2 linked regions of the Ovis aries genome follow. The protein of the gene in region 2 purifies or fractionates together with the protein of the main gene of each other region. This does not show direct contact. Links are inferred from orthologs where the notes say so. Each region holds a gene or a part of one and is shown on either strand. Other genes may lie near its edges. The genes, in order: PICK1 and ASIC1.

What was found.
Region 1: the proteins of ASIC1 (region 2) and PICK1 purify together in Homo sapiens (affinity purification with western blotting; 3 studies listed by BioGRID and IntAct, with this or other methods). This does not show direct contact. The link is inferred for Ovis aries from reciprocal best matches to the Homo sapiens genes ASIC1 and PICK1.

The regions. Positions count from the first base shown.
Region 1 is NC_056056.1:215,667,341-215,682,700, forward strand, and holds the end of PICK1 (PRKCA-binding protein), read left to right. Parts: intron 1-1,709; exon of another isoform or gene 1,710-3,732; coding exon 3,733-3,861; exon of another isoform or gene 3,862-4,836; intron 4,837-5,927; coding exon 5,928-5,994; intron 5,995-6,982; coding exon 6,983-7,072; intron 7,073-7,513; exon of another isoform or gene 7,514-7,707; intron 7,708-9,060; exon of another isoform or gene 9,061-9,535; coding exon 9,536-9,589; exon of another isoform or gene 9,590-9,969; coding exon 9,970-10,032; exon of another isoform or gene 10,033-10,785; coding exon 10,786-10,919; intron 10,920-11,308; coding exon 11,309-11,401; intron 11,402-12,195; coding exon 12,196-12,246; intron 12,247-12,884; coding exon 12,885-13,029; intron 13,030-13,447; coding exon 13,448-13,722; 3' UTR 13,723-14,302; downstream 14,303-15,360. UniProt on the Homo sapiens protein: Probable adapter protein that bind to and organize the subcellular localization of a variety of membrane proteins containing some PDZ recognition sequence.
Region 2 is NC_056056.1:136,246,172-136,262,143, forward strand, and holds the start of ASIC1 (acid-sensing ion channel 1), read right to left. Parts: upstream 7,817-15,972; 5' UTR 7,615-7,816; intron 6,754-7,614; 5' UTR 6,739-6,753; coding exon 6,377-6,738; intron 5,775-6,376; coding exon 5,579-5,774; intron 1-5,578. UniProt on the Homo sapiens protein: Forms voltage-independent, pH-gated trimeric sodium channels that act as postsynaptic excitatory receptors in the nervous system, playing a crucial role in regulating synaptic plasticity, learning, and memory.

The sequences.
Region 1 (15,360 bases), about 79 Mb from region 2:
CCTGGAAATTGGGGATGTAAAATGCGTAGGTCTGAGGATCTTTGGGTTGCTGTGAAGAATGAACTCAACGATGACATCCCGCAGTTTCTGGCCCTTAAGCAGCACTCCCTCAATGGCAGCTGTTACTATTTTTATGACCGTTCACTCTCCCAGATGATCTGCCAGCGGCACTTTACAAGTTTGTGGTCCTTATCGCACAGGAGCTGTCCTGGTGATGTTCTGTCATCTGTGATTCGCAAGTGGGGACTGGCCTCCTTTACTGTGGGGCTGGTCAGAGTCAGTGATCTCTCTAGTCTTGGAAGGAAGCTTGCTCCCGTAGACATCAACTTGACCTGGACTCTGCTCTATTCTAACCTTCTCAGCTAAGTAGCCATTGGTGGCAGATGAGAAACATCAGTCTCTCTGAGGATCTTGCAAAAGAGTCACTTCTAAGGCCTTGAAGATGGAGATTCCCTGGATCTGGTCTTGCCCACTCAGAATGTGGCCTTTACAAGCCCTTTGGCCTCCTCTGACCCAGGAGGTGTTGGGGAGGCCTCCCCCAGGCCTGACCTCCTCGAAATCTGCCTGTTCGGCCTCCTGTGCCACCTTCCCCTCCATCCCCGCCCCCTGCTGAGGGCCAGGTTTGTCCTTAGTGTGAACTGTGATTATAAATAGTAGAATTGATTTTTTCAAAATTCAGTTTTATTTTTAATCAAAGACTCTCTGACTTGCTTTTAACAAGTCAAGAGTACTAAAAGGCCAATGTCAAATAAGCAATTCCCTGCTCTACCCCATCTTGCCGCCCTTCCCCCTCCCCAGGCCTGCCTCCACCCAATCCCAGAAGCAACACTGCTTCCCACCCTTTTAGCTGTAGATTCAGGTTGGAGGTCCCATTTTTTCTCAGTAAGATGCTTATCCCGTTACTTCTTGATCTGTCCCTTGTAAACATCTATCAGCTTCTCTCAGCCAAGGAGACAAGAATTTAACTTTCTTCCCAAACCACTGTTTCCTCCCACTCCATCTTCCTAGCACGGTGACCTTGTCAGTTTTGATCCAGTCTGTGTCAGTGCAATAGGTTTCATGTTTGGGGACTATTTCCTCAGGGCCTGGCCAGGGTATCTTGCAGACACTAGAGTTAAAGCAAGAAAACAGAGGCCCTCCTCTCCACCTCACCCAGAGAGCTCAGAGCACAGTAAGGTGCATTCTAGGTACCGAGCTTAATGGTCTTCTGTGTACTTTTTCAAAAAATATTTTTATTATGGTGAAATTCACGTAGCATACAATAGTGGTTTTAAAGTATAACCACTCAGTGCTATTTTAGTGCGCTCATGGAATACAGCTACCATCTCTGGTTTCAGAACTGTCTCATCACCCAGACAACCACCCGTGCCCTTGAGTGATCATGTCACGTTGACGTTCATTCACGTTGCAGCCCATTTCAGTACTTCCTTCTTTTCATGGCTGAAGAGCATCCCACGGGATGGATAGACCACCACTTGTTTACCCACTCATCTGTTCATGGACATTTGTGTTGTTTGTACCTTTTGGATGTTGCGAATAACACTGCTATAAACATTCATGTCCAGTTTCTGTGTGGACATATGTTTCCATTTCTTTTGGATATAAATCTGGAGCGGAATTTCTAGGTCATATGCTAACTCTGTGTTTAATTTTTTGAGAAAGCCTGTGATTCTTTTCTTAACTCAATCTTCTTTTTTTAAAACAAGTAATTTCTTTTTTTTTCCATTTGCATTCTCCTTGTGTTTTCAGTACATTTACCGCAAACATTTCCCATCATCTTTCTGTCCTCCACCGCTGGTCTTTCCTCTTTGAACGACCCCTTCCCTCTCCTCTAGTGGACTGGATTCCCTCATCTCCAGGATCCCTCTTTCTTGGCTTACTTCCCCACGTTGGTGGAGCATGTTTCCTGTAGCTTTCCGAGAAAGGCTGCTAGGGCGGTCAATTTTTTGAGAACTTGTGTCTCCGTAAGGGTCTCGTTCTGTTTTTTGTGGTTGTTATTCTCATATTCATTTCAGTTGACACGTGAGTGGGTCAAATTCAAGAATGAACATCAAGGTTGAAAATAATTTTCACTTAGAAATTGGCTGGTGTCATTTCATTGTCTTTTTGCCATCAGCATAGTTGTCCTGTCTGGTGATGCCAGTCTTACTTGTGAGCCTTTATTTGCAGTAACGTGTTTTACTGTTGGCCCATGAGAACTCCTGGGCACTTCTCTTCATCCCTGGCATTCTGAAGCATCGTGACGACGGCTCTTGGCGTGATCCTTTCTCTGTCTGTCGAGCTGGAACCTCAAGGGGCAGGTTCATTGGAAACCCCATGTCTTTCTCTTCTGCATCTCACATATTATCCATGATGCTGTCCTGCTTTCTGTTCTCGCTTTTGGACTCCTGTTGGTTAAACTCTGAGCTTCCTATTGGTTAAACACTGGGCTTCCTGTTGGTTAAACTCTGGGCTTCCTATTGGTTAGACTCTGGGCTTCCTATTGGTTAGACTCTGGGCTTCCTCCATTGATCTTTTAGTATTCCTTTTCTTGTTTTCTGACCATCTCTTTTTTGCTTCCCACTGCTTGGTTTCCAAAGTTCCTTTGGCATTCTCCATTTCAATTATGTTTTGTGTTTTCCTATTTCCGAAATGATCCTTTTACATCATCGTGTTCTTGTTTTTCAGGTCTCTGTGAGGATGTTAATTGCAGTTTTCTTTTTATTTTCATATTATATAAGATGAATATATCTGAAATATGTTTATATTATATAAATATTTCATGTTACATAAATATTAGAATATTTCATATTATTCCATTTATTTTCATAATCTTTCATATGGTTGCCCCTGTTTTGTTCCTGTTTCCTGTGGTTCTTTTTTCTATTTAAATGTTTTGGTGTTTTTCACATGGGACACTTTTTCAAGGGCCCAGTACTCCCCGCCTGTCTTTGTATCTAAGAGCGAGCCCTCACAGTCACGACGGGTCTCACAGTTCTGTGTGGTGGCAGAGTCAGCTGGTGGGTTCCGCTGCGGGGCGTCAGCCAGTCTTCCAGCGCCCACAGAGAGAGGCCTTTCCTGCGGAGCTGTTGGGTGGGGGGGGGCCCTGGGGTGGGGCCCCCCGCCAGGCTCCTGAGGCTCCAGGCTCCAGGTAAGCCTGGCTGCCGGTGTTTTGGGGCCCCACAGGGACTATGGGGCTGTGGGACTCAGCACACACTTTTGTCGCCTGCTCATCCTGAGTGTCTCCCCCTGTCTCTGTCCTTTTAACAGACACATTCAGCCACATTGAGCCAGTGAGCACAGAACCCCCTGGATGGGGTCACTTGGGGAGAAGGGGCTCGTGTGTGTGAGGGCCCTTGCTCCTTGGGGACTGCAGTGAGGTTGCAGGAATTGATCAGTGGTGCTCTGGCACCCAGTCAGCTCCGAGCAGCGTTGTTGGAAAATCTAAACAAATGACTTTGGAGGAACAAAGCCTCCAGTGGGTGTGTAAGGTTGGGTGCAGTTGATATCAGAAAAGGGACGTCTTATCAGTCACATTTACTTCCTGCCCTCCTTCCCTTTCCCCCAAGAAGGTGGGTCATTCATATCTGGCTGTTGGGGTGTTCTCTCGCCTTGCCCTTCTCCTCGCCACGTAAGGGACAGAGTAGAGACCAGGACAGGGCTGGTGCTGGTTGGGGTGGAGGGCATGCCCGCCTGCGCCAGCCTTCTTCCCAGCTTTCCTTTCCTCCCGTCCATCCCCTTCCACACCCACAGGTGTTTGACAACACACCCGCCGCACTGGATGGCACTGTGGCAGCTGGCGATGAGATCACAGGGGTCAATGGCAGGTCAATCAAAGGGAAGACTAAGGTGGAGGTGGCAAAGATGATTCAGGAAGTGAAGGTAAGGCGGCGGCGGCGGCGGCGGCGGGCACACGCGCCCTTTTGAGACCCCAGCCTGCCCGAGGCCTCGGCGGGCCTGCAGGGGGCCTGGCCCTCACCTAGCTCCCTCCTCGGCACCTCGGGATCTGTCACATCCCAGCCCCTCCAGTGTCCCCCGGGTTCATTTGGGAGATGCTGACTACCTCCAGGACTTGTGCTGGGCCCTGGTGAGACAGTGGGCACCACGACTCAAAGGTCCTGCCCTCGAGCTCCCAGGGGAGCTGCCAGACTCAGAACCACACCTCGGGGTGAGCCAGCGTGTCCCCAGTCAGGGCTGGAGCTGAAGCTAGAAGTCCATGGTGCACCTGCCCGGGTCAGTAGATACCCAGGAAGCGTCCTCTGAGCCATGCTGGGCCCAAGAGGGTGTGAGAGGGAAAAAGGCACCCCACCTACCGTTCCCTGCAGGAACCTGCAGTCCTGTGGGTCCTCCTGGTCTCACACATCACCCCGGGGACCCCTCTGGGCACCAGGGCAGCTCCGTGTCCAGCTGCTGGCGTCCTGTTCAGCAGGCCAGACTGCACTGCCTGTTTCCTGCTTCCCCCGCCCTGCTCTAGGCCAAGTCCTCTCCCTACAGAGCCCCTCTCTCCTGCCACGCCCAAAAGCATGCAGCCCTTCTGCCATGTTTTTGGAGATTTTTGCTGCTGGCAGCTATTGCAAAACCAAAACAGTGAAGGTGCAAAGCCGCAGGATGATTTAACGCTCTGAGAGTCAAGCATCCGGCTGCCCGCTGAGCTCGGTCGAGTGTTTGGGCTCCCTCACCCCATCCAGCCAGACCTCTCCTCACTTCCCTCCCATCCTCTGTGTCTTAAAGGCCTGGTACCAGCATCCCTGACAGTCCGTCTTCTTACCTTAGCCCCGGACCCACGGCTTCCACTCTCTCCCCTTTGTTCTCCTCTCCTGCTCCGCCTGGTGTGGAGTTTACTGCCCTGGGCATTTCCTGTTGGGCAGAGGAGCGCATCATGGGAGGTGGTGGGCCATGTTTCATTCTGATATGGAGCTGGGGTCCGTGTGCCCCCCCCCTCTGGATCCCTTTTCTCATTTCCCCTGTCTCTACCCACCAGAACCCTCCTTGTCCTCCCGAGCCTGTCTCACGCCAGCCTCTCACATTACCCATGAGAATAGGAGCTCTTGGCAGGTGCGCATGGCCTTGCCATTGCCTGGGGACTCCCCAGCCCCCACGTTTGGCAGACATCTGGGCACCCATCTCACCAGTGCCCTGCAGGAGGGAAGGAGCTGCTTGTGGTCGCACGGCTGGAGCAGAGCCCAGATCTGGTCCCACCTTGGTGCTCCTTCCTCCCCTACAGCCGTGCTCTGTGGCGGCCCTGAGCACCCTGCCAGGCAGCCTTCTGCACGCTCCCACCCCCCGACTCATGGCCTCAGTTCACTCTAGTTTCCCTTCAGGATGCAGCTTTAAAATTCTGTTTTGTATCTGAATGAATTCAGCCCCCAGCTCAAGGGTCTTAGGATCTCAAGCATGAGACTGACCACGGTGGCCTCACGTGGTCAGGGCAGCCTTCTCGAGGGAGGCCGGCTATTTCTCGTCCAGTCACTGGACTGCGATTGGTGTAATTCCGCGAATTGCATCGGCCTCTCCTGCTGGCCTCGGGCTCTGGGGGGCTGCAGCCACCCTCTCACCTGCTCCCCAGCACCCCAGCACCTGACACAGAGAAAGTGCTCGGACGTGTTTGTGGGGCGAATGGCAGGACTCCTGAGAAGGGGGCTAGTTTAGAAGATCCTCTCAGAGGACAGGAAAGTGGCCTGGCAGAGGTCTGCACTGTGGCCGTGGCATGGGGGAGGGCAGGGGCACGCAGTGTCACAGACCGCCCGGCTGTGAGCTCTGTGACCCCAGGGACCCTGTCTGCCCTGTCCCTGCCGATTTTCTGGGGCCTGGTGGGTGGAGAGAGGAGGAGGAACCCTTTCCCCGTGCTCAGGATTCTTTGATGACCACAGATACCAGGGCAAACAGGCCTACTCAGAGAAGGGGCTGGGGCCCAGGGGCTCCATCACAGCTCTGCTGTCCTCTTCCAGGGGGAGGTGACCATCCACTACAACAAGCTGCAGGCGGACCCCAAGCAGGGCATGTCCCTGGACATTGGTAAGCTGTGCCGGGGCAGTGGCGTCCAGGGGCTCTGCAAGCCCCCGTTCTGTCTCCTTGTGACAGTGCATCAGTGGTCACGTGGCTGTGCCCTCTGACCCTCCGACCAAGCCAATCCAAAGCAGCTGGGAGGACCCAGGGGTGCTCCCCGGAACCCGTCTCTGGTTTCTCCCTGCCTAATGGTTCACTCCCCTACCTCCCTCGACCGCCTGCTCTGGTGCCTGCATGCCGTAGGGCAGCCCTCCAGCTCACTAGGCCCAGTCCCTCACCACTCTGAAAGGGGAGGGCAGCCCAGCCCTGCCTGGTACCGCCTGCCCACCTGCACACCCCACTCAACCCTGGCCTCTTCTGCCCACCTGCTGCCAGAAAGCCTTAGGGTCTGGATAGGCCCTCAGGTTCGGGGCAGAGGGCAGTCCTGCTGCCCACAGCATGCCCTGGGACATATTACCTCCTGCTCGGGGGCTGGGCCTTGGCTCTGTAGATGCTTCCAGGCTCAGGAGCCAGATGGGAGCTTCGAGGTCCTCTGGACCAGCCACCTCACTGCACACCAGAGCCCGGGACCCAGGGAGGCACTGTGCCCCCAGGTGAAAGCCCACCCAGATCTCTTGGCGCTGGGGCCCAGCACCCTTTCCCTCCACCCTTGGGCCACAGTTGCCTTCTGGTTTTTAAGGAAAGAGGCCAGTGTCAGGCCTAGGCAGCTCTGGACTTCAGTGGGAGTCGATAGCCACTTTGAGTGCCAGACCCTCAATTAAGTGCCTTACATACTTATTGTTTCCAGGCTCCCAACACCTCTCTCAAGTAGAGAGTGAAAAGGGCAGGGAGCCCAGAAAGCCCATAACCCCCCGCCAGGACCCTCCCTACTTCATAGTCACCCCCACCCCAAACCCCAGTTCCGGCCCTGCTGTTGCTCCCAGTGAGTCGTGATGGAGCAGGATTGGCCCTGGGGGCCCAGACTCCACCTCATGAGTCCTTTCTCACCTGGTCCCAGTGCTGAAGAAGGTGAAGCATCGGCTGGTCGAGAACATGAGCTCGGGGACGGCAGATGCTCTGGGTCTGAGCCGGGCCATCCTGTGCAATGGTGAGCCCCCTTCTCCCAGCCCCACCACTGGTCCCAGGGGACTCAGGCCCAGGCCTCCGGGGCTCGGGTGCCACGGCTGCCCACCAGACCTGTATGTGTCCCGCTGGCCTGGGCCAGGCCTCTGCTGGTGGGGCCAATACTCACCATCTCTCTGCCTCCCTGGAGGCCTCCCCAAGCTCCCACAGATCACCCACAGTGCACAGTGAAGGCCTCTTACAGCCCGTGTCCCCCCGCTTTCCAGCAGGGGTTCACAGATAGGCCCAAGTCACAGATGAGAGACTCCTGGTGGGCAGGTGCCTCCTGCCAAGCTCCCCAAGCTGGTGCCTTCGCCACTGCCCCCCAGGTGCTCTCACACAGCCAGGCCTCCCCCACCCCAGCCCCAGTTCTACCCTGTGCCCTCTCGTCACCCCAGCACGTCCCGGCTGCTCCCGGGCTGCTTACCCGGCCCCCCGCCTCTCTCCAGGAGGTGGTGCTGCTGCCCAGCAATTCCTGCTCAGACCTGGAGGTGGCTGTGCTCGCCTCCCGCAGCGGGAAAACTGAGTACATGCACATTCACACCCACACATGCCTGTGCACACACAACTCTCTCCCCACACGCTCACACCCACCCATGCGTGTGCACACGCGCTCTCCCCGGGGGGTGGGGGGAACCAGTGAAACACGCAGTCCCGCTCCCGCCGTCACCAGCCCAAGTTTATAAATAGCAGCAGCTCTGCTGTGTACGTGTGGGGACAGATATAAATACCAATATAAATTGTAGGCTCAGCTGGGCGCACTGGGCTTTATTGGCTGGGACATCGGGGGTGGGGTCTGAGCTTGTTCCAGAGGGTGTACAAAAGTGGCGGCTGCTATTTCCAGCTTCTTGGTGCCTATAAATCCCTGTTACTGTAGTTACCATGCGTCGAGATGAAATTAGAACTGGTTGTTGTGTTTTTTCCCCCCCAAACCTTGCAATTTCCCCAGCCTTAAATAGGGTTTCTAAAATTGAAGCTGTCATGATGTCCCATGACCCAGCTAAAAACAACAGCACGGCGCTTACGTGGCTCCTTCACTGCCAGGCTGGCCGGGCGCCAGGGTGCTGGGGCGCTGGGGCCTGGAGGCCAGCCCAGTGGCTGAAGCCTCTGAAGACCTCTAAGGAGCGCCCCACCAACCCCTAGAACCCAAACCCTCCTCCCTGACAGCCTGACACACACTGCATTCTCTGCCCAGATTTAAGAATCCAGACCTGGCTTCTACAACCCTTCCTCTCCTCCCACTCAGAAAACCCTGGCCCAGGTCAGCACAGGAAACTGAGGGGGCAGAGGGCACTCTGGCCTGCACAGCCCTCGCTGCGCACCTTTAGGCAAGTTGCTTTACCTGTCTGAACCTTGGTTTTCCCTATAAGATGGGGGAAGTAATCTGCCCCAAAAAGCTCATGTGGAGAAAGGACTGAGCTGGGTGGGGGGCTCCAGTGAGGCCAGGCTCTGTCTTAGGAGGCCCTGGGCCAGGCAGCCACCAGCATGGACCCTGCCCCACACTTGCTGCCCGTGCTCCTGGTGGGGAGGTGGGTGTGGGCCTCACCCTTATCAGAGTGGAGGAGGGTGGTGATCACTGCTGGCCGGAGCCCCGCCCCACCCTGATCTGGAATGCAGCCCCGGCCCTGGTCATCCACTTGTTCCTATCTTGAGCCCTGGAGGTGAGGCAGCTGCCCCCATCCCTCACCTGGCAGCCCTTACTGCCCCTGCCAGCCATGGCCTGGCCACTATCACCGCTAGACCAGGAGCCTGGAAAGCACCACTCAGATTTCATTCACCAAGGTCATTCCCTGGCCCAACACGGGGTCTGGCACATAGTGGGTGCAGGATAAACACCTGTGAAGCCAGTGAAGACGATCGCCAAGGCCCACTCCAGTGCAAGCTCTTCCTCAAAGCCCTTCCTGCCTTTCTCTCCCCTCCCAGATTGCTGTCCCTTCTGAGCTGCCAGGTGGTGGCGGGCTGCCTTGAGCCTACCTTAAGAGTTACTGTCAGGCATCCCGTCTCTCCCACTTGTCTCTGACTGCCTTGCTTCCTAGCCGTTGGCAGGGCGTGTGTTGGAAGTTCTGGCCAGGTCCTTGACTGCTAGGCAGGGGCTTGCCTTCCACCGGCCTTGGGCAGCTACCCTTGGGCATGGCCTTGGGGAGGGCCCAATCCAGTTTTCACTCCTCACTTCTGGAAGCACCCGCATCCTTGTCACCATGTCCCAGCCTCCTGGGGTGGTGCTTATCACAGCCTCCTGAGGGTCGCCCTGCTGTCCCGCCTTGTCTGGGTATAGTGGGCTCGTCACAAAACACCTGCGAGCCCAGCCGCCCTGAGGTGCCCAGTCCCCATCCCTGGGACCCTGTCCTGTTCTGTTCCTGGTTCTTTGGGGGCCACCTCGCCTCTCCCAAGCCTGGCTCCAGTGATCCCTGGGTCTCTCCCCTCACCCCTGGCTCTCTGATCCCCACAGATGGGCTCGTCAAGAGGCTGGAGGAGCTGGAGCGGACCGCCGAGCTGTATAAAGGTGGGCAGGCACACCCTCCCGCCAGCAGCCCTGGGTGGGTGGGGTACTGCACCAGAAGTGCCTGGCCCGGGTTCTCCCCGAGGTGGAGCTCTGGAGCCCTGCTGTAAACGTGATGGCAGTGAGGGGCAGGGTGCCAGCCACACAATTCTAGGACCGTAGTCATTAAAAATTCTTAAGAAAATCTAAAGACCTGCTTTTTCTGATTATAAAAGTAACATGTGCCCATAAAAAAGAACGGCACACGTAAACCGAGTGAGAAAAGCCTGAACCTCAAGGACAGTGTGGGCCTCGGGTGGGGTGGGGGTTTGGAGGCCGTGTCCTGGACCAATGTCATCCCCACCGTGTGGTCCTGTCCCTCTCATTTTGGGTCTTTCCCACAGGGATGACAGAACACACCAAGAACCTCCTCCGGGCCTTTTACGAGCTGTCACAGACGCACCGGGGTAAGGATGCCCTGATCCTGCTACATGACCCTGGAAAAAACCCTGCACTCTGGGCTCAGCACCTCCCTACACCCCACGGGGAGGGTGAGGGCGAACTTCTCTCTGGGGCCTTTCTGCTGCCCAAGCTCAAGCAGACCCTGCAGCATCTGACCTCATGTCAGATTTGGGGGTGTGATGGTGATGGGGCCAGCGGGGAGCCTCTCGACCAGCTAAGCTTCTGTGGGGTGCAGAAGATCCCCGTGCAGGCTCTGTCCTGTCTATACTGCTGCTTACAATGTACAAGGCCTTTTCTTATTCCCGATCATGTTTCCTACACGTTTGTTAGCTTCAGTTAATCCCATTTTACAGCTGGGAAGACAAAGCCCAGGTAGAAGAAGCAGTAACCCAGCTCCTTAGGTGCAGGGTTGGCCTTAGGACCAGATTCCTAGACTAGTACTCTGCTCCCAGACAGTTTCACCTACTCCACTTTGACCCTGTCTTCCTCGCATGGTCTGGTCACTTCAGGAACCAGGTCAGCTCCTTGGATGTAGACCCACCTTCCTTGGGGGTACAGGTCCAGCTCTTAGGGGTGTAGATCCACCTTTCTTGAGGTTTAGACCCACCTCCCTGGGATGTAGACCACCAGCAGACCTCAACCTCCGACCCACCACGCCCCCCACCATGCTTCTCCCCAACAAATCCCTGGCTTCTCCGTTAAGGGGTCAAGTAAAGGGGTCAAGTAGGGGCGGCCTTCAGAACAAACTTGTCACGCAGCCTTTGGGGACGTGTTCTCTGTGATCGGGGTGCGGGAGCCCCAGCCCGCTGCGAGTGAGGCTTTTGTGAAGTTCGCCGATGCCCACCGCAGCATCGAGAAGTTTGGCATCCGGCTCCTGAAGACGATCAAGCCGGTAGGTCACGTGGAGCGTGCGTGGGTCCGTAGGTGAGCGGGGAGGAGCAGTGTGGCCAGCGGAGTGTCTTGTTCTGGAGGCGGAGCACCTAGGGGCTGGTTTGGGGGTGGGCTGCTACAGCTGACCGTGGCTGAGTCCTTCTTCCTCCACGACCTCAGCACTGACCTCCAGGCTGGTTTCCGGCCCTGGCCCCACCAGAGTTACAACTTGCCCTTGGCCTGGGCTGTCTCCTCCTCGGAATGGACAGGGCAGTCGGGGATCTCCCCTCGGCTCTGACACCTGAGTCCACTAGAAGGGTGGACGCACCAGTGCCACTCCTTGTCGCCCTCTCCAGCCTTCACCCGCCCTTGCCCAGGGGGCCTGAGCGTCCACCCCACCTCCCCTTCCAGATGCTGGCAGACCTGAACACGTACCTCAACAAAGCCATCCCGGACACTCGCCTCACCATCAAGAAGTACCTGGACGTGAAGTTCGAGTACCTGGTAAGTGGGCCCCGGCCTCCTGGGGGGGCGGTGGTGTGGGCCCGGCCTGCTGGGGTCAGAGCCCACCTGGAGGTTTGTTCCTCTTCAGTCGGCCGCTTGACGGCCAACGGGTCAGGGCCAGGACCTTGGTGACACCTGACTGGGGGCGTGGCGCCAGGGCCCTAGGGAGGTGTTCGGGGCTCAGGCAGCAGCCTAGGCCCTGCCTTGACTCTTCAGAGGAGATCTGGGGTGGGTGGCGCCCTTGCTCGGGACCCACTCTGACCCCATGGGAATTTTCTTCAGTCACCCTTTAACAGTGGATCAGTCTAGCTCACTGGTTGTAACATGGATTTTCATGAGTCTTATGATCAAATGGTAATTCTGCGGTCAAAGGAGTTGAGGAAAAATACTCCACTGAGCAGGCCCACCCAGGTCCTTTGCTTCAGGACTTGTCAGAGCCTTCGATAGACCCATGTGTAACGTGGGTCTTCAGGGGCTTCCTCAAGTTCTTTGGATCCTGAATCCTTTAGCCCAGAGCATCTGTTGGGACTTGGGTGTAAACGCTGGGCTCTCGGGCCCTTTCCATCGTCCCTGATGAGTGCCCTCACCACCCTGAGCCTCCAGGGCAAGGGCCAGCCTCTCCCCACACGTCTCAGCTCTTTCCAGCTCAGGGTGTGCAGGGCCCACAAGGCCTGGCACGGCTGCTCCTCTGGGTGGCCGAGGGCTCCAGGGGGGCATGGGAGGAACTGGGGCCATCAGGGTGCGCGCCCAGGTGGTGCAGCCCCCCTGACAGCCTGGCCTCACCCGCCCCACAGTCCTACTGCCTGAAGGTCAAGGAGATGGACGACGAGGAGTACAGCTGCATTGTGAGTGGGGTGGGGGAGCACGGCCCTGGTCCTGGAGTGGCTCGGGGTGCACACGCCTCTCCCTGCCTGCCTCACAGAGCCCCAAGAGCGTCCTGGGCCTGCCAGGGACACGGGGTGGGGCGGGCCTGCCCAGGAGAGGCCTGGGGACTTGGCCAGGCTCCTGTTTGTGCAGATCTGGGGGCTGTCCTTCCGTCCCTCCCTGTGGCCTCTGCAGGCCTCCCAAGTGCTGGCCATTTTTGCCGTGGAACCATCCCCACTGCCTGCTCCCAGACCAGCTGCCCTCTAGACTTGGTGAGGCTCCTGCAGGAAAAAAAAAATGCCCTTCCTCTCACTCCTGAGAGCTGGGTTTTTTTCACTTGCTACTTTGTAATATTTTTGATAGCAGGGTCCATCTGTGACTCAACACTCATTTAATGTGGCAAGAGTCTGGGGTTTTTTTTTGTTCTTGTTTTCACAAAGCTATCCCTAAGCACTTCTAGCAACTGCAGGCGTCTCAGAAACGGGGAACGGTGGCAGCTTTGAAAAGTGCCGTGTGGTGGGGGGGTTGCGAACTGGCGGGTTCTCTGCAGCCTCTCTGCCGCCACCCCCCGACCCCTGCCGCCTGCCCAGGGTCCCTGACGTGCTTCCCCCGGGCCCAGGCCCTCGGGGAACCCCTGTACCGCGTGAGCACAGGCAACTACGAGTACCGCCTGATCCTGCGCTGCCGTCAGGAGGCCCGCGCCCGCTTCTCCCAGATGCGCAAAGACGTGTTGGAAAAGATGGAGCTGCTCGACCAGAAGCATGGTGAGGGGCTGCGAGGCCCCCCGACACCATCCTCCTCCCCATTTCAGAGAGGTCCAGCACTCACCCGAGCTCCCAGGGACAGCCCGTGGCAGACTGACTCTGAGTCAGACCCGAGATGGGAGCGTCCCAGAGCCTGGCCAGGGTGGGACTGGCCGTGTCCCGTGGACTCCTTGGGGTGTAGTCCCACCATCCCCAAGCCCTACCCCACCCTGGCAGTTCTCTTCTACTCCCTGAACTGGGAGCGGGGAGGCCTGGGTACTGTGCAGGGCTGGGCAGCCCTGGCTGGCCTGGCCCCCTCCGAGGGTGCCAGGGGGCAGTGAGGTGCATGAAAGGGAAGCCCAAGGGTGGCGGAGTCGGTGGGGCCCTGTGTGCAGGCAGCCTGGCCCACCGGCGCTGTCTGCTGCCCCTCGCGCCCCAGTCCAGGACATCGTGTTCCAGCTGCAGCGCTTCGTGTCCACCATGTCCAAGTACTACAACGACTGCTACTCGGTGCTGCGTGGCGCCGACGTCTTCCCCATCGAGGTGGACCTGGCTCACACCACGCTGGCCTACGGCCTCAGCCAGGACGAGTTCACGGACGGCGAGGACGAGGAGGATGAAGACGAGGAGGACACGGCAGCCGGGGAGCCGCCCAGGGATTCGCGAGGGGCTGCCGGGCCCCTGGACAAGGGCGGGAGCTGGTGTAACTCCTGAGTGCCCCCTCGGGGTGTGGGTCCGGGGGGCAGGGTGAGCGGGAGGACGCAGCTCGGGAGCGGGGGCAGGGCCGCCGCACGACAGGGTGTGCAGCGCATAAAGGCCTGCTGGCTTGGGGCGCGTGCCTCCCTGCTGCTCTGTCCTGCACGGCGAACCCGGGTTGCCCGCCCAGGATGAGCTCTGGGGCCGTGGCCTGGGCCCTCGGCCCTGGCCCCCTCCCTCTCCACCCCTCACCTCCACCCCCAGCTCCCCAGCCAGCCAGAGAGCTTAGTCTCCCGACCTACCTTAGGAAGGAGAGAGAGGGCAGAAAGGAAGAGGGGTCAGAGGTGGCAGGATTCCAGGATTCGTTGCTCGTGGGCACCTCCGCCGGCCCCACCCCGAGCCTGCCAGGAGTCGGGGGGCCCGCGGGTGGCCAGCCGAGCTGGGGCCAGCGTTGCACCCTCGCCTCTCTTTAGGCTGGCCCCACCCCCGTCCACACTCACCTCGGCAGCCTTTATTTATTTTATTCCCCTGGCTCAGCCACTTCCCTGGGGAGGCCTGGGCACTGGGCCTGTATTGAATAAACACAAACCCAGATGGAGCCAGGCTCTTTGCAGTGGCCTCAGACCCTCTCTCCCCTCGATGTCCCCTCTTCTGCTGCCCTGATCACGGAGAGGGGCAACACCATTGGAGAGGGGCTCACCAACATTGCCATTATGGCACTGACTCCTCACAGCAGTTCTTTGGATGAACACTGCTGTCCCCATGTACAGATGGGAAACTGAGGCCAAGAAGAGACTTGCTCAAGGCCCCTTGGTGTATGGGGAAGAAGTGAGATTTGGACTCAGAGCTGTCAAGTTCAGAAGACTCCACTTTCCCCACTGCCTCCCAGGCTTTCTGCTCTGTGGAGCCTTTTATATCCTCTCTCCTCTGTGACCCTTGAACTAAACCTTTATTTGGGAAAAGACGGGACAGATACTGGGTCAGGCAGATCCAAGGCCCCAAATGAGGAGAGAGTTAAGGGTGCCTTGGCCATCCCAGGCCACCTGTTCTGCCAGGGCCAAAGGGGAGGGACCCAGTGGGTGGTGCCACGCTAGTACTCCATGTCTTTGCTTCTCCTGGACAGCTCTGGCCCACACCTATGATCCTAGTGGGATTATTCATAGTGACCCTTGTCACCATCAGTGTGTCCCTGTTTGGAAAATGAAATTTGTGCTCATCCGGAGAACAGGAGGGGTGCAAGAGGCTGTGAGAGGTGGGTAGAGCCCACAGTGGCCAAGGAGGGGGTGGTTTCCTGCTTATTAGGTTTGCATGTGTGGGTCTCGGGCAGAGATGCCAATGGGATCCTCAGGCAGGATTGGGAGCTTGGAGAGGGGGGCCAGCTGTCACTGTGTGTGCTCCCTTCGAGCCATCAGACTGCATCACCTCTCTGAAGGGTCAGCCAGCAGGGAGGCCAAGGGCACAGACGAGCTGGCAGCCTAGGTTTGAGGCACAGCTCCTGTGACCCTGAGCTACCTCCTAACCTCCTGGGCCTCAGTTTCCCTACCTGTGAGTGTGGCTAGTGAGGGTACCTTCCTCCTTGGGTCCTTAGGAGGATGAGTTAACCTTTGTGAAGAGCACAGCATGGTGCCTGGCACAGTCGGGTCTATATTCATTAAA
Region 2 (15,972 bases):
CTCCTGCCTCCGGAGCCTGACCACAGACAAGAACTAGACTGGTCGTCAGCGGGAGGAGGCTGGGGTGGGGAGACACCATACTTTCTGTAGAACTGGAGATTCGGAATAGCTGAGCTGGGCTGGGGAGATTGGAAGGACTCCACCCAGATGATGAGGGACCTCTCATGCCTGGCACGTGATTTTCTGCTCTGAAACCCTTAGGCTTCCCTTAGCGCCACCCCTGCCCTCTGTGCCTCCTGGGGTTACAGCACATGGCTCTAAGCTCCCTGAGGGCAGGGACACCGTCGGCCTGCTCACCACTGCCCCCTGGTGCCCAGCACGGGGCTTGGCACTTCTAAGGTCCTCAGAGGGTCACAGGAAGGAATTCAGCGAAGCTTGACTCTCCCAACCCCAGCACTCGTGCCTAACATCCAGTCTCCCTCACCATCCCCAGGAATTCAGTTTGCCTTCAACAAAGTTGAAGCATGCTCCGAGCCACCTCCAGAGTTTGCCAGCAGAGACATTCAGACCTCTCAGCAGGCCTCCCCTTTGCTTCCTGGATGCACACCAGGTGCCAAGGCGGCCCCACCTTAGAGGTAGTGCTCCGCTGGCTGGGGCAGAAGAAAGCCCAAGGCTTGGAAGCGGCTCCTCCGCACCCCTCCATTTCCGGCTCTGCCCCCAGTGGCACTTACTTACATCAACTCCCTATTACTTTAGCCAACAGCCGAGATCAATTAACTTAGAGTAACCCCTTAGCTGACAGCAGTCTGGGAGAGGGGTGGAGTCAGAAACAGCAAGGTATGGGGGAGGAGGAGAGGGAGGAAGTGAGAGAGGAAACTGAGTCACCCAAGGGGGTGTGTGTGGGTGTGTGTTATGAGAGAGACCTCAATACAGGGTCCCCTGGATTCGTGTGTGTGTATGTGTCGTGTGTTATGAGAGAGACCTCAATGCAGGGTCCCCTGGATTCTTGCAATGGGCTCTATTCAGTCACCTCCCCTCTAACCTCAGACACTTCTGAGAGTGGGAGGGAGAGATGGAAGTACCCAAGAATGCCTGAGGGCGGGGTGCCCCTTCCCCAAACCTAATCTCTGCCCGCCAGCTCCTCCTGTCCCTCCGGAATCCCTGCATGCTCCCCCATCCGCACCCCCTTCCCCCGACAGACAAAGACCACCAGGCTTCTGGACACGGTAGCCCAGTGAACCTCCTTCCTCTGAGAGCAGCAGTCTGAGCAGCGCCCCACCAGCACCCCCTCCACTCCCTGCCCAGCTGGAGAGAACAGACCCCGGGAGTGAGGTCAGGCCCTCCCCAGGGATCCAAGGTCTGAGCTGCTGTGGGGTCGTGTGGAGTGAGGGGTGTCAGTGAACTGGCAGAGCCAGCCCTGGAGATAAGGAAGCTCTTATTGCTAGTCCTGGCTCTCCCTGGGACCGACCATGCCTGGTTCTGCTCGCTTCTGGGTCCCAGGATCGCCCCCTCTATCGGCATCTCACCTCCCCTAGGTGCTCCAGAAGCTCCCTGTCCAGGTCCAGAGCCTTGAGGGGATTTATTTGTCTACCTCCTCACTGCACCTCTCCTCTGAGAGGCTTCTGCCACCACTCCAGGGTCCCCCAGGGATTCTTGTCCCCTATCCCTTGTCCCCAAGTCCACCCCCTCCTGAAAGAAGACTATCCCCCTGCACACCCACCCCGGGATTTCCATTCTCTGCCCCTCCCTTCCATCTCTCGCAGGGTTCAGAGATGAATTCCCACTTCTCTCTCCCCCAGGCGAAGGCTCTGGGTCTCAGCTGGAGAAGGGGGGTGGCATAGGGCACACTAGGCCACCATCTGCCAGCCCCCTCCCCTTGGAACTGTTCAGCATTCCAGCCACATCGGCGCTCCCACTGCCAGGGACAGATAAGGTGCAGCTGGAGGCTGGCACCAGCTGCGACTGCGCTCGCTCCCCCCTGGCCCCCACCCAGACACCAGCAGACAGCTGCGCCCCCCAGCCTCCTCCATGGAACCCCTGCCCTGCCTTGCCCTGGCTGGCCTCAAAGTGGGGTGGGTGAGTGGAGTCTCAGACCCTGTTGCCCTGGCAACCAAACACCCCATCAAGAAGGAGAAGAGGAGGCCAGGAAAGATGGGGCCTGTGGGTCTCTGGTAGCTCAGGAGAAAGCTATTGAGGTCAACCCAACTGGGCTGCTGTGGGGAGCTCTTCCCCATGGCCCTCTGCCTTTTCAGTCCCCAAAGGTTTCCAAACCAGCTTCTCCCAGATTTAGCCCAGGTTCCCCTCACTCTCCTGAGCTGACTCTGCCACCACTGGGGGATGGACCTGGCCAAGCCACTTCTTCGACCACCAGGTCATCCCCGAGGTTGAGCAGGATTCAGAAGCAGATCTGGGGAGAACGCTTGTGACGGTAGACCCCACCGGGGGAGCTGGTGGACCACAGGATGCCCTTCCTATGCCCCCTGCACCATCCTCCAGATTCAGGGGTCCTGTTTTTGGATGAAGGTTGTCCCGGAACCTGTGGAAGAGTTCACATGTGTCCACACATGCTCTATTTTGCAAACCCATTGAGCTGGCACTGGATGCCTGGTTAAGAACCTCTACTCTCACGGGAACAAAAGACGCCAGGATGGTCTCCCTAAGCTCTGATCTGACAGACAGATGTTTTCTGTCAGTGCTTCATCTGTCCAGGGGCTGGGTACACGCCTCTTGGCCTAGCAGAGACTAGCAAGGATGGAGAGGCAGGTGTTAATTAAGGAGGATGAAGGTGGAGTATCACGCATGAGTGTTTGTGCCCCTTAGGGCCAGAGAGCTGGAGAATGCCAGCACCCTTCTCCACCAGGGAGATGTCAGCCAGACTCCCATGTGCAGGGACATCCCTTTGGGCAGAGTAGAAAGGGACTGCAGTGAGGGCAACCTGAGAGGGTAGAAGGAAGATCTGAGAAGTTTGGATCCAGCTAGATTCAGGGTCAGGTCTTCCACATGGGCTTAGAAACAGCAAAAACCTAATCTTCCCCGACAACCCAGGACCAAGAAGTGCCAGTGTTGGGGCTGTGGGATTCTAGCCAGGTATCTCTCCCCAGCAAGAAGAAGAATTCTCATTGCTCTGGAACTCTGTGGACCAATCATCTCTCCATCTAATTGTGTAGGGTTGTCCCTTCAGACAACATGGACCGATCACATTTCAGTATCTCAATTTCCATGAACCAAATATATGTTAGCATCACCACTTGGAATCTTCCTGGACATAAAGGACGAATGAAGCCTCAACTGTACACTTTCTATGAACTAATGGTAACCCCACTTTTTGCCTTAGCACCTTCCCAGGTCGAGCCAACAAATTCCTGTCCTTATCCAAACACTACAAACCATTCGATCTAATGGGTTTTCTTTCTTTTTTTTTTTTCAAATTGTTCTGGCTGCGTGGCATGTGGTATCTTAGTTTCCCAACCAGGGATCGAACCTGCACCCCTCCCCACAGTGGAAGCGTAGAGTCCTAACCACCGGACCACTAGAGAAATCCCCTCTTTTTTAAAAAAAATTATTTAATTGGAAGCTAATTATTTTACAATATTGTAGTGGTTTTTGCCATACATCGACATGAATCAGCCACGGCACACATGTGTTCCCCATCCAGAACCCCCCTCCCGCCTCCCTCCCCATCCCATCCCCCAGGGTCATCCCTCTGTCTTTCTTGATGGTCCCTTTTGCTTGTGTGAAATACGCTGCAGAGGAGGAGGGCTCTGGCTTTCATTTCAGCCTTCATCTATAGTTCTACTACCCTTGGAAATACAGTTGGTGAGTCTGGGAGCCCTCTGGTCTTGGGCTCTGGGGAATCTAGCACTCACCTGCTCTGAGGAAGAAAAAGTGGGAAGGAAATGGTTCTTGCCTCACACTAAGCTCCCTATGAGCTTGGCTCAGCAAGGACTGTGGTCATGTAAGCTTTGTCCAGCAGGATTGACAAAGGCCCGTGAAACTGGTCTCAGAGCAAGGCTTAAAGAGATTGGGAAGTCTTGTATAACTTCAGAGGAAAAAACAAGCATGACCATGGTTCTAACCTTTCTACACAAATGCAGTTCATGCTCCCCTAATGCTAGGGAGGAAGCAATCAAGTGTGGGAGAAAATGGGCAGGGAGCAAAGGGGGAGGATCTGAGAGTGGAGAACTAGGGGCAGGTATGGAGAGAAAATTGGAGAAGGGACTGGCAACCCACTTGCCTGGGAAATCCCAGGGACAGAGGAGCCTGGCGGGGCTACAGTCCGTGGGGTCGCAAAGAGTCGGACACGACTGAGCAGCTCACACACACGCACATAGAGAGAAAAAGAGTCCTAAGGAGACTGGGCTTTCAAGAGCAATGGCCAGAATTGGAAGTGAACATGGTAACTCCAGGGTCAGCAATATTAATGCAAAGAGCACACTGCGTTAGGACTGAATAAGACATGAGTTCTAATCCTGAGTCTCTCACTAACCAGCTCTGTGAGCTGGGTAACTCATTCTACCTCTCTGTCTCAGCTTATGCACTCGTTCAATAGAGATAAATATGACTATTCATCCAGGGGATTGAAGGAGAGCCTAGAGAGTATTCAGAAGAGTTCCAGGCATCATCCTCACATTTGGTACTCTTCTTCACACATGGCTCCAGTTCCTCTGGTCCCTTTCCACACTCTGCCTGACTTTAACCCTCCAGCAACCCGTATGACTTGCTCATAATCACCTGTCACATGAGATGCCAGTCAGGCCCATCTGTGGTGGTGGGCGGGGGGTATGAGTATTTGTGGGGCATCTCTACTTCAAGAAGCAAAGGGAATCTCCAGTTCAGCCATGCTATGAGCCCCAAATCATCTCTTCTTCCTCAGACCCTGACTATGGGCTGGCAAGGGGGGAACCCAACTAGACACTGTGTGTGTGTGTGTGTGTGTGTGTGTGTGTGTGTGTGTGTGTGTGTGTGCTGGCAAGGGGGGAACCCAACCAGACACTGTGTGTGTGTGTGTGTGTGTGGCCAGGGGGGAACCCAACCAGACACTGTGTGTGTCTGTGTGTCTGTGTGTGTCTGTGTGGCCAGGGGCAGGGGTGGCACAGAGGGAATTACCTGTCCAATTTTTTAAGAGAAAGCTTCCCTTACTTGCCATGTTTCATGCTGCAGCTCAGACTTTAACTCAAACCACCTGAGGATTTTGTTAAGCTGCAGATTATGACTCAGTAGGGCTGAGAAATGGGGTGGCAAAGTTCTACCTTTTGTTCAAGCTCCCAGGTGGTGGTCCTTGGACCTCCTTTTGAGTAACAAGGCTGCAGCTTACCCACTGCCACCCCAAGCTCTGACACCTGTGGCCCAGAAGGTAAGCTTGATGGGGTGGGGGGCTTTGCTAGGCTGTGTGTGCACACACACATGCACACATACACACACATCTATGCACTGTAGGCTCTCTTTCCTGCCATCACAGACACAAGGCCGAGGCCTTCACTAACAGCAAATGCCCCCCTGAACTAAACAAAGTCCCCCTTCTGCCAGCAGTGAACCCTAGGAACATACAACATCCTCCCCAGAGGCCCTCTGGCTCCTAGTCTCCTCTTCCTCAGGGGTCCGGCTGACTCACGCCCTGCCAGCCAGGGGACTCACTCACCACCTTGAAGTCCTCAGCGCTGCAGACCTCCCCCCGGAAGTGGCAGGAAAGCAGCATGTCTCGGATGTCGTGCCCTGCGCGGTCATAAAACTCGCGCATGTTGAAGGGCTTGGGCTTGAAGCTGCGAAAGTTGGCCTTGTCCTGCAGTATCTCCAGCTGCTTTTCATCTGCCATCTGCGTGTCTGGTATCTCATACCTGGAGCCCAGGGGTGAGCAGTGCATGGGTTGGCAGGATCTTCAGTTCCTGCCTCCATTCTGCCTCCAGTGTCCCATGCCCAACTTTGGGGGAAGGGTGGCATCCAGCCCTGGGCAGAGGCCCAAAAGAAGAGCTGGGCGTGTCTAGAGGATCTGCCCCCTGGGATCTGAGAAGACAGAGGATCTGCACTGGCTGCCCAGGGGTCGGGCATCTGAGCACAGGGGTAAGGGTGGGTGGGCAGAGAGCTCAAGGCAGGCACTATGGCTTTCATACCATGGTTTCTACCCTTTAAAGACAGTATGCCCAGATCTCCCAAGAGAGGAGAAAATTGAGACGTAGTAGCAAGAGGGTGGGCAGAGGTCCCTCCAGAGAGTGTGACCATGTCACACAGCTCAGGCTGGATAAGGGCAGAGCTGTTTTGAACCACGCTGGGATCAGAGATTGGTTGCCCTTAACTGGGTGCTTGGCAGTACCCCAATTCCTTTGCTGCGAGTGGCAGGTTTCGGGGGCTGGAGGGCAGGGTTGTCTAGGCTGTATGGCAGGCTAGAGAACAAGCACCCTGATGGGGTGTCTGGGAGTGGGGATGGGTAGGAGCCCCCCACCTGTTGTTGAGCAGGGCCAGCAGCTCCCCGGCGTGGTACAGGTCATTCTTGGAGACTTGGCTAAAGCGGAACTCGTTGAGGTTGCACAGCGTGACGGCAGGGAAGGTGAGCTGGGAGGCAGCCACCTCGTCGAGCTTGGTGACGTGGTGGTAGTGGAAGTAGTACTGCACACGCTCGGTGCACACACACAGCAGCACAGCCAAGGAGCCCAGGAAGCAGAGGGCCCAGAGCGCCCGCTTCAGAGACAGCCGCTCGTAGGAGAAGATGTGGGCCAGGCCGTGCAGGGTGGAGCTGCTGGCGAAGGCCTGGATGCTCACCGGCTGGAGGCCACCCACCTCCTCCTCCTCAGCCTTCAGTTCCATCCTGGCCGAGGGGATCTGGGGGGAGAGGGGTGGGGAGTCAGTCACTGCCCTGGGTTGAGAGTACACGTGGCGTCCCTTCAATTGGGTCCATCTGGGTGAGTTCCCCCCTCCAGAGGTCACTGCCTCTGGGGGCAGAAGACTTCTCTGGTGGGCAAGCCCAAAGGTGGCTGCCCCGTGGACACCCTCCCAGAAGAGGGTTCCTGCCAATGCAGGGACTTGGGGGTCAGTTTAGGCCAAAAGAATGCCCTCCCAGGGAAGCCTCCTGGGCCAGGGGTGACCCCAGATGTGGTCATCCGAGGACGAGAGGGAAGTCCCCATATTCCCACAGGCAGGCACAGGAGTTTCCTCCAGATGTGGGGTCACTCTGGGACAGGAATGTCCACCCCATCCTGGAGACAGAAACTCCCCCAAATGGGCTGAACCCGGCCTCAGGAGTTCCTGGTCAAGGGTGTCCCCAGGACTGGGTTTTCATCCCCGCCCTCGACCCCACGAGCTAAACCTGGGTCAGAAACCCCCAGGGAGGCAGAGAGGGGCCCAGCCTGTGTCCACACCTGCAGGCGTCTCCAGTTCTCAGAACGGCACAGGCTGTCTGTGTGCATGTTTGGGGTGGGGGGTGGGGGGTAGAGGGCAGCCCGAGGTGGCTGCACAAAAATGGGGGGGGCGGTTCCCTATGACAACGAGCTGTCCCCGCCCCGGACGCAAACCCCCCCACCCCAGTCTAGCTTCTCGACGCAGCCAGATGCCCTGCTCGGCCCCCGCCCCCCTCCCCAGCCACTGAGGCGCCCCAGAAGCTGGGGAAAGCGACAAGGGAGGAAAGTCCCGGCTTCCGGACGCTGGGGAGTCCCGCAGCCAAAGGCGGGGGAATCGGAGACCCACCTGAGGGGGCTTCGGGAACCCGGCAACCGGCGGCGGGTCCTGGGGCGCGGGGCCGGACGCGGGCTCAGCGCCGAGCCGCGGAGGGGCTCATGGCCCGGAGCGGGAGCCGGCGGCCGCCGCGGCACGCCGCGCAGAGCCCTGCAGGGAGCGGCCCGCCCGGCCCGGCTCGGCTCGGCTCCGTCTGCCCGCCCGCCGCGCGCGCTCCCTCGCTCGCCTCGGCTCGGTCCGCCCGGGCTCGGCGCGGTGCGCGGTGCTCTCAGCCCCGGGATCTGCAGGGATCCATCGTCCGGCCGGGAGGCGGCGGGAGGGGAGGCGGCGGGGGAGGGGAGAGGGTGCGCGTGCGCGCCTACGAGTGTCTGCGAGGGTGTCTCTGGGCCGGTGTGCGCGCGGGGACCCCGGACCGGGGAACGGGATCGAGGGTTCCCTCCGCTGCCTCGCCCCCTCCTCCTGGCCGCGCTCGGCGGCGCTGCCTCCCTCGGGTCCCGGAGCCGTCTCCCTGCTTGCGAGGCCCTGTGGCTTGTGTCTGACTGTGGTGTGTGTGTGTGTGTGTGTGTGTGTGTGTGTGAGTGCGCGCGCGCGCGCGCGCGCACGGGAGGGAAGGTGTCTGCCCCCAGCGTCCCCCTCCCCGCGCCGTCTCCTTCGGATCGATGCTCCTGCCTCTTACTGCTGCTTCCTCTGGTGGCACACAAGCGCGTGTGCGCGCGCGCGTACACACACACACACAAGCTCCGAGTCACACTTGACTGATTCAAGCGCTTGCCCGTGCGGAGACATAGACACATATACAGACCAGAGTCACATTACGCCACTCACAGCTACCTACATGCACCCCCCACAGACACCCACACACCCCAGAGGCCTGGCCCACAGAGCAGGAACTCATGAGCTTACAAGTATTCACCTGCTCTTATCCTGGCTCCCCACCTACAAGTGACACGTACACACATGTACATATATAAACAAACACAGAGCCTTGGCCTCAGAAACCCCATCCTGGTAACCCTGGCCTTGCCTTGGGGGTGGGAGGCGGCGGCAGGTTTGCAGCTTCTCATTGCCAGACCTCTAAAGAAGAAGCAGAGAAGGAACGGGAAATAGCCAGAGGTCAAGGGAATTTGGACAGAAGTCAAGAAACAGGGAAAGAGAAGGGAATGGGGAGAGGTGGGAGGTTGGGGGTTGGGGGAGGTGGACAGGAGAGGAAGGGATGGAAGGGGAAGCTGTACTCAGGTTTGGAGCTAAATTCTGAGCCACTAAGACCAGGCCTGTGGGGGGGGGGGGGTCTTCTCCTGTAGCTCTCACCTCTCTCCTCTTCCTCCCTTCTCCTCTTTAAGAGGCCTTGGGGGGCCCTCCCTATCCAATTAACAGAGTAAGAGCAATCAAAGGGAAGTTGTTAATTTGCTAATGCTCATTAGGGGCTCTTAGCACGAAGGCTGTTGAGGTCTGATGGTGTCAGATGATGAGGAGGGGAGTGTGGGGACAAGAATTCTATCTCTAGCCCCTCCTTCATTCCACTTGTGGGCTGGTGCAGCTCTGGGAGAGGGAGGTGAGAGGTGTGTTCCCAGGGCTTTAAGTCAGAACCAGAGCATATAATGAGGAGGGGCTGGCACGGAGAAAAAAAGTTGGATGAGAAGTTGTGAGGGGTTGGGGGCAGGGGGCACATGGAACTACAGGGAAGGGAGCTGGAGATCCCAAGAGGGAGTGTAGGCTTAGGGCTGCGGAGGTGGGAGACTGGGATCCAATGACTAGATTCTTGGTCAAGGTGCTACCAAGAGGAAGGGAGGATCTTAGATTCTCCTCTTGGATTGGGGAGCTGTCCAGCAGCACCAGGCTGTTCCAAAGAGTCGCCATGTGTCCGGGCAGCCACTGGGTGGCAGCACCCTCCCAGATACTTAGAATCCACGAAGGGGGGCATTTGGGAATGGGATTTCAGCCTGGGAGGGTCCCAAGCAGGGATCTGAGGAAATCTTGGGCAGAGTCTGATTCCTGAATTCCAAATGACTTCAGGAGGAGGGGTGGGCCATTTTGAAGCATCTGTAATTCCCCTAGCTCCCCACCCTCGCAGGCTGAGTGACACATGGAGCTTCTTCAAATGGCTGCAAATTGCTTCAGTCACCTGGGATGTTACTGAGGGAGCAGCGGGGGTGGTGATGAGGTGAGGTGGAGGCAGGCAAGGACTGATTGAGGCCAAGGAGCAGCCTCAGGAGGAGTCTGGGGGGAAGTAAGAGTGTGACTCGGGCAATCTCACGTCCCAGACCTGGCTCCGCCATTCAGTAGAATGAGCAGGTCTTCTGAGCTCAGTTTCCTCATCTGTAAGACGGGGATAATATTTATTTCACAGGAGATTCTGAGAATTACATGAACTAATGCATAGAAACAGCTCAGCACATTAGCTTGTACTCAGGAAATCTTCAATAAGTAATAACTTATTATTAGCATTACTGTTTGAATCCAGTAATAAAACCACCAGTGCAGCCACATCAGGGTAGAATCTGACAGTGGTTCTCAGCCCAGGCTGCACATTTGAGTCACCTGGGTAGCTTTTTCAAATGCTGCTGCCGTGGCCCCGCTTTAGACCAATTAAATCAGAATCTCTGGAGGTGGGGTCCAGATTTCCCAACTTCTCAAGATCTGTGATATATACCAGTCAGTCTTGAGAAATCTAGATCTTCAGAATCCACAGGTCTGGATCAAAACTTTGGTTATTTATTCCTGTATATCAGACTCCGGCTATTGTTTCCTCTTCATTTGAGGTGAGAGGGATCCTTGTACATTTTGGCAAACTTCCACTGTGGCTTTTCTTGTGTCCAGCCCCAGGACTGGCCCTGGAGTCATGGGCCAAATTCTCTCAGTGTCAAAGGAGAGATGAACACGCTGACAACTGACTCCAGTCTAGCAAAAACCAGGAGTGAAATTGAAGGATGGACCAGCATCAAGTGGTAGGAGGGCAAGTCCTACTGACAGGGGCTTGTGGTGCAGGGATGAGAGGAAAGGGAAGCTGGCTTTGGTAAGATGACATGTGAGGGATCCAAGCACTGTGATTAGTGTCACGCTTCTTCTTTCTCTTTCTCTGGGCCCACCTCCCTCTTATTCAGGCCTTGACAGATCCTAGCTCCTTTAGCTTCCTCCCACTTTCTTGTCCACACTTTCCTCCTCTCTGGCACCTGCAGTCCCTTCACCTCGGCAGCCTTTCTCTTCTGGGGCTGAGAGAGAAATAGGCCTGTAGGTATCCCTCTCTCCTCTGCACAAGGCATCTGGCTAGGACCCACCCTGGGCTTTGGCATCATACTGACCTGAATTCAAATCCCACCTCAGTCACACCAGTGCTGTGTGATCCTGGACAAGTTCCTTAACTCATCTGAGACTCCTTTTCTCCACAAACCATAAAATCTGGCTAATGCCCACAGGGATGAAAAAAAAAATGTCTGCCTGGTAAACAGTAGGTGTTCCATCAACAGCAGCAAGTATTATTTTCATCCCTGAGAGGTTGATGGGGCAAATTCCCCACGGACACTTCCCTTGCAGATGGCCCCATCTGCTCTAGGTGCAGAAGCGCCCTCCAGCTCTCGGAGACAGGGAGAAGAAGGGGGGAGGGTAAGGCCCCCTGGGACTCCCAGCAGCTCTTCTCCGCTCCCCAGTGCGTGAAATCACACACACCCCAATCTGTCTGCAATCACTTCATCTGCCAGCTCAGCAAATGTGGCGACAATTAAGGAGTTAATTAGCAGACAGTGGGAAGGGGCTGTGGACCTGAGGCAGACAAGCCCCATCAAGACACCTCTCCTCTACCCCTGCAGACTCCACTTTGTCTCTTGACCTTCATTATCTCCCACTTCATTCTCTTTTCTGGTCCAAATGCTCCTTTTACCTCTTCCCTTATTTCTCTGCTACCCTTGCCCTTCACTCCTCCCTGCTTACCACCCCTCCCCCAATCCTGTCCTGTCTTCTCTCTTCCTCATTCCTCTCTCTAATCTCTCCGCTGCCCCACTTAAATGTTCCTCTGTCTCCCACCCAAATCACTGCTTTCTCCATCTTTGCGGGGCTCACCCTTTTCTCCTTTCCGTGTTCACCTCTCAATCTGGTCCCTCTTCGCTCTCTGCTCTTCCCCTTCTCTGCACATCACCCCTCCCCCTCCAACATGAGTGAGGGTCTCAAAACACAGAGCCGTGTTCACTGGGCACCGTATCTGCTACAGGGATCAGTGGGTTCAAGGGTGCTTCCCGGGTGGGGCCCCCAGCACTGCAGCCTGGAAGGAGTCTCCTCTGACCCTCACCTGCTCCCAGCTCCTCTCTTTCCTGGCACTCTAGGTAACTCAGTCTCTTTCCTGTACCAGGACACCTTTGGGAGGCTCCCCATACTGCCCCTGCTGTCTCCCCGGCGTCTTAGCGGTTCATCTGCACTTCCAGGATCACATTGGACCCCTCTTTTTCCTCTTTTCCTCCCTGGGGGCCACCTTTCTCCCATCACAAGTCCCAAATTGTGTGTCATCCTGTCATTTGGTGGGGGCGGGTCACAGCTTCAGAAGGAAGGGATGATTAAAGAGGAAACATAAGAAGACAGAGAAAGGCAGAGAGCAAGAGAGAGGAGGAGAAACTGGGGCCAAGGCAGATTGAAAGGGCAGATGTGGGGAGGGAGGTGGAGGAGAGAGACTGAGACAGAGAGAGGGTAATTAGAGATGGAGCAATGGAGACTTGGAAATAAGGAAGAGACCACTAAGGTCCCTCACTGCTTTAAAATTCTAGGTCTTTGAGAGGAGTGAACAAAGGAGAAACAAAGATCTGAAAAGGACCTGGAGCTTTTCTTTTTCCAGAAAACTTCCCTGGTTAATCCCTTACCCAACCCTGGCCTCCTTGGCTTCCCAGGTGGTGCTAGTGGTAAAGAATCGGCCTGCCAATGCCGGAGACGTAAGAAATGCAGGTTCAATCCCGCATCAATCCCGCAGGAAAGATCCCCTAAAGGAGGAAATGGCCTGGATAATCCTGTGGACAGAGGAGCCTGACGGGCTCCAGTCCACAGGGTTGCTGAGAGTCGGACACGACTGAGCAGCTTAGCATGCTGGCAGCCTGACCTCCAGTTTCCTCCTGCTCCAGCTGCTCTAGTCTCTGTTTTGTGGGCTCTGATTGCTCTGGGAGTAGGTCTGTCCTCTGTCCTCCCCTGACAACACCTTCCCAAGGCAGGGTGTCCCCCCAGAGTGGGCAGTGGCTACTTTGACCTCCGGAGGAGGGGAGGGTGGCCTGTGCTCTGCCCGCATCAGTAGGTGTATGGGGTCCTGGGCACCTTGGTGTAGGGTGGTCTGGATCTCCAGCTCTAGACGACAAGCACCTAGGCCGATCCTGGCCCTAGCAGCTGCTCAATAGTGCAGCCTGGGGGTCATGGCTGGATCTGGGGTCCCCTAGGCTGGGGACACTTTCCTTCCTCTGCATCAGTTGGCCCTGCAAGGAGCTTGTGTCTCTGAGCTGTTCCCCAGCTGAAGACAGTCCTCCCCTCTTGCTCCCACTGGGGACCCCTCTACAGCCCACACCTTCCCCATGGACCCTCCTCCCACCTTCACTAGGCCTCTCTGGAAGGTGCAATCTCAGCGCCCTGGGCGGCCTCTGAGCCAGAGGAGGCAGTGCGGGTGAATAATTCATGGGGCTGGGAGGCCCTTATCTCCCAGGCCGGCCCCACCCGGGGCCCCAGTGCTGGGCCGCCGTCCCGCGGCTCCTCGCTTTATCTCGACGCCCAGCTTGTAATGCAGCCCGCCATATCACAGGCAGAAGGGGAGATTAATTTTCTGGTTTTGCATGGGCGGGGAGGGGAGGGGGCGTGGGGAGGTGCTGGGGAGCAGAAGCTGGGATCTTTCCGATTTCAGACTCCAGCGGCTTAATCCTCTCCCAGGCCTGCAGGAAAGGGAGGAAGAGGGTGTTGCAAGCCAAATTTCATCATCAGCGGCAGCCCCAACAGAGGGAGGAGGAGACGCAGGGCAAGCAGACGGTGGGCGCTGGCACGGACAGGGGAGTTGTTTGGAAACTGGGGGAAAGCCGGCCCTCAGCCTGGGCTTGCCAACGACACTCGCTTTGTCGCGAGAGGGACTCAGGCTGAGTAGGGTGCACACAGGGGCACGTGTATGTGGACACACCGGAGCTTGGGGCACAAGGGCGTACCTCTTCAGGAAGTGGCAGTGGTCTTGCTGTCTGCCCCACAAGGCCTGGCACAGAGGAGTCTAAAAAAATGTTGAGGGGCTGAACTCTGGGGAATCACTGATGAGCTAAGCAGATACAGCTCCCCTTGTGCCGGCCATCTTTCCAAGTGCCCCTGCAGGCCTGGCCGCTGTTTCCTGTGCTCTTGTGGTCCAGGGAGGCCAGCAAGCAGAGGGACACTGGCCTGGGGAGCCTGCTGGCCCCTGCTGCTTCTGCTTAGCTGACAAAACCACCCAGAGCTAGAGGAAGCCACCGCCTGTTAGCTGAGCACCTATTATATACCAGGCCCGGGGCAGGGTAGATCTGTGTTCCCCGAGATGAATTAGAAGTGAGTCTTGGCTCTGATGCAGGAGACTGAATGTGCTGTTTGCCAGGAAAGAGCTACTAATGAAGTGCTCCATGGAGGGAGTTGATGGTAAGCAGGAACGTGTCTTGTGGGAGGTAGCATTTGAGACAGGTTTTGAAGGATGGGTAGAAGTTGGGATTGGCCCTAATGGCAGGGAGGGAGGCATGACGTTTTGGGAAGAGGAAGAATATGGAAGAAGTGATGATACAAAAAAGATCTTCAGGACCCAGATAATCATGATGGTGTGATCACTAATCTAGAGCCAGATATCCTGGAATGTGAAGTCAAGTGGGCCTTGGAAAGCATCACTACGAACAAAGCTAGTGGAGGTGATGGAATTCCAGTTGAGCTGTTTCAAGTCCTGAAGGATGATGCTGTGAAAGTGCTGCACTCAATATGCCAGCAAATTTGGGAAACTCAGCAGTGGCCACAGGACTGGAAAAGGTCAGTCTTCATTCCAATCCCAAAGAAAGGCAATGCCAAAGAATGCTCAAACTACCGCATAATTGCCCTCATCTCACAAGCTAGTAAAGTAATGCTCAAAATTCTCCAAGCCAGGCTTCAGCAATACGTGAACTGTGAACTTCCTGATGTTCAAGCTGGTTTTAGAAAAGGCAGAGGAACCAGAGATCAAATTGCCAACATCTGCTGGATCATGGAAAAAGCAAGAGAGTTCCAAAAAAACATCTATTTCTGCTTTCTTGACTATGCCAAAGCCTTTGACTGTGTGGATCACAAGAAACTGTGGAAAATTCTGAAAGAGATGGGAATACTAGACCACCTGACCTGCCTCTTGAGAAACCTATATGCAGGTCAGGAGGCAACAGTTAGAATTGGACATGGAACAACAGACTGGTTCCAAATAGGAAAAGGACTACGTCAAGGCTATATATTGTCACCCTGCTTATTTAACTTCTATGCAGAGTACATCATGAGAAACACTGGACTGGAAGAAACACAAGCTGGAATCAAGATTGCTGGGAGAAATATCAATAATCTCAGATATGCAGATGACACCACCCTTGGGGCAGAAAGTGAAGAGAACTAAAAAGCCTCTTGATGAAAGTGAAAGAGGAGAGTGAAAAAGTTAGCCTAAAGCTCAACATTCAGAAAATAAAGATCATGGCATCTGGTCCCATCACTTCATGGGAAATAGATGGGGAAACAGTGGAAACAGTGTCAGACTTTATTTTTGGGGGCTCCAAAATCACTGCAGATGGTGACTGCAGCCATGAAATTAAAAAACGCTTTCTCCTTGGAAGAAAAGTTATGACCAACCTAGACAGCATATTCAAAAGCAGAGACATTACTTTGCTGACTAAGGTCCGTCTAGTCAAGGCTATGGTTTTTCCTGTGGTCATGTATGGATGTGAGAGTTGGACTGTGAAGAAGGCTGAGCGCCAAAGAATTGATGCTTTTGAACTGTGGTGTTGGAGGAGACTCTTGAGAGCCCCTTGGACTGCAAGGAGATCCAACCAATCCATTCTGAAGGAGATCAGCCCTGGGATTTCTTTGGAAGGACTGATGCTAAAGCTGAAACTCCAATACTTTGGCCACCTCATGCGAAGAGTTGACTCATTGGAAAAGACTTTGATGCTGGGAGGGATTGGGGGCAGGAGGAGAAGAGGACGACCGAGGATGAGATGGCTGGATGGCATCACTGACTCGATGGATGTGAATCTGAGTGAACTCTGAGAGTTGGTGATGGACAGGGAGGCCTGGCGTGCTGCGATTCATGGGGCCGCAAAGAGTCGGACACAACTGAGCAACTGAACTGAACTGAACTCAACTGAACTGAATGATACAGGGACCAGGGTGAAGCAAAGAGATAATAACTCT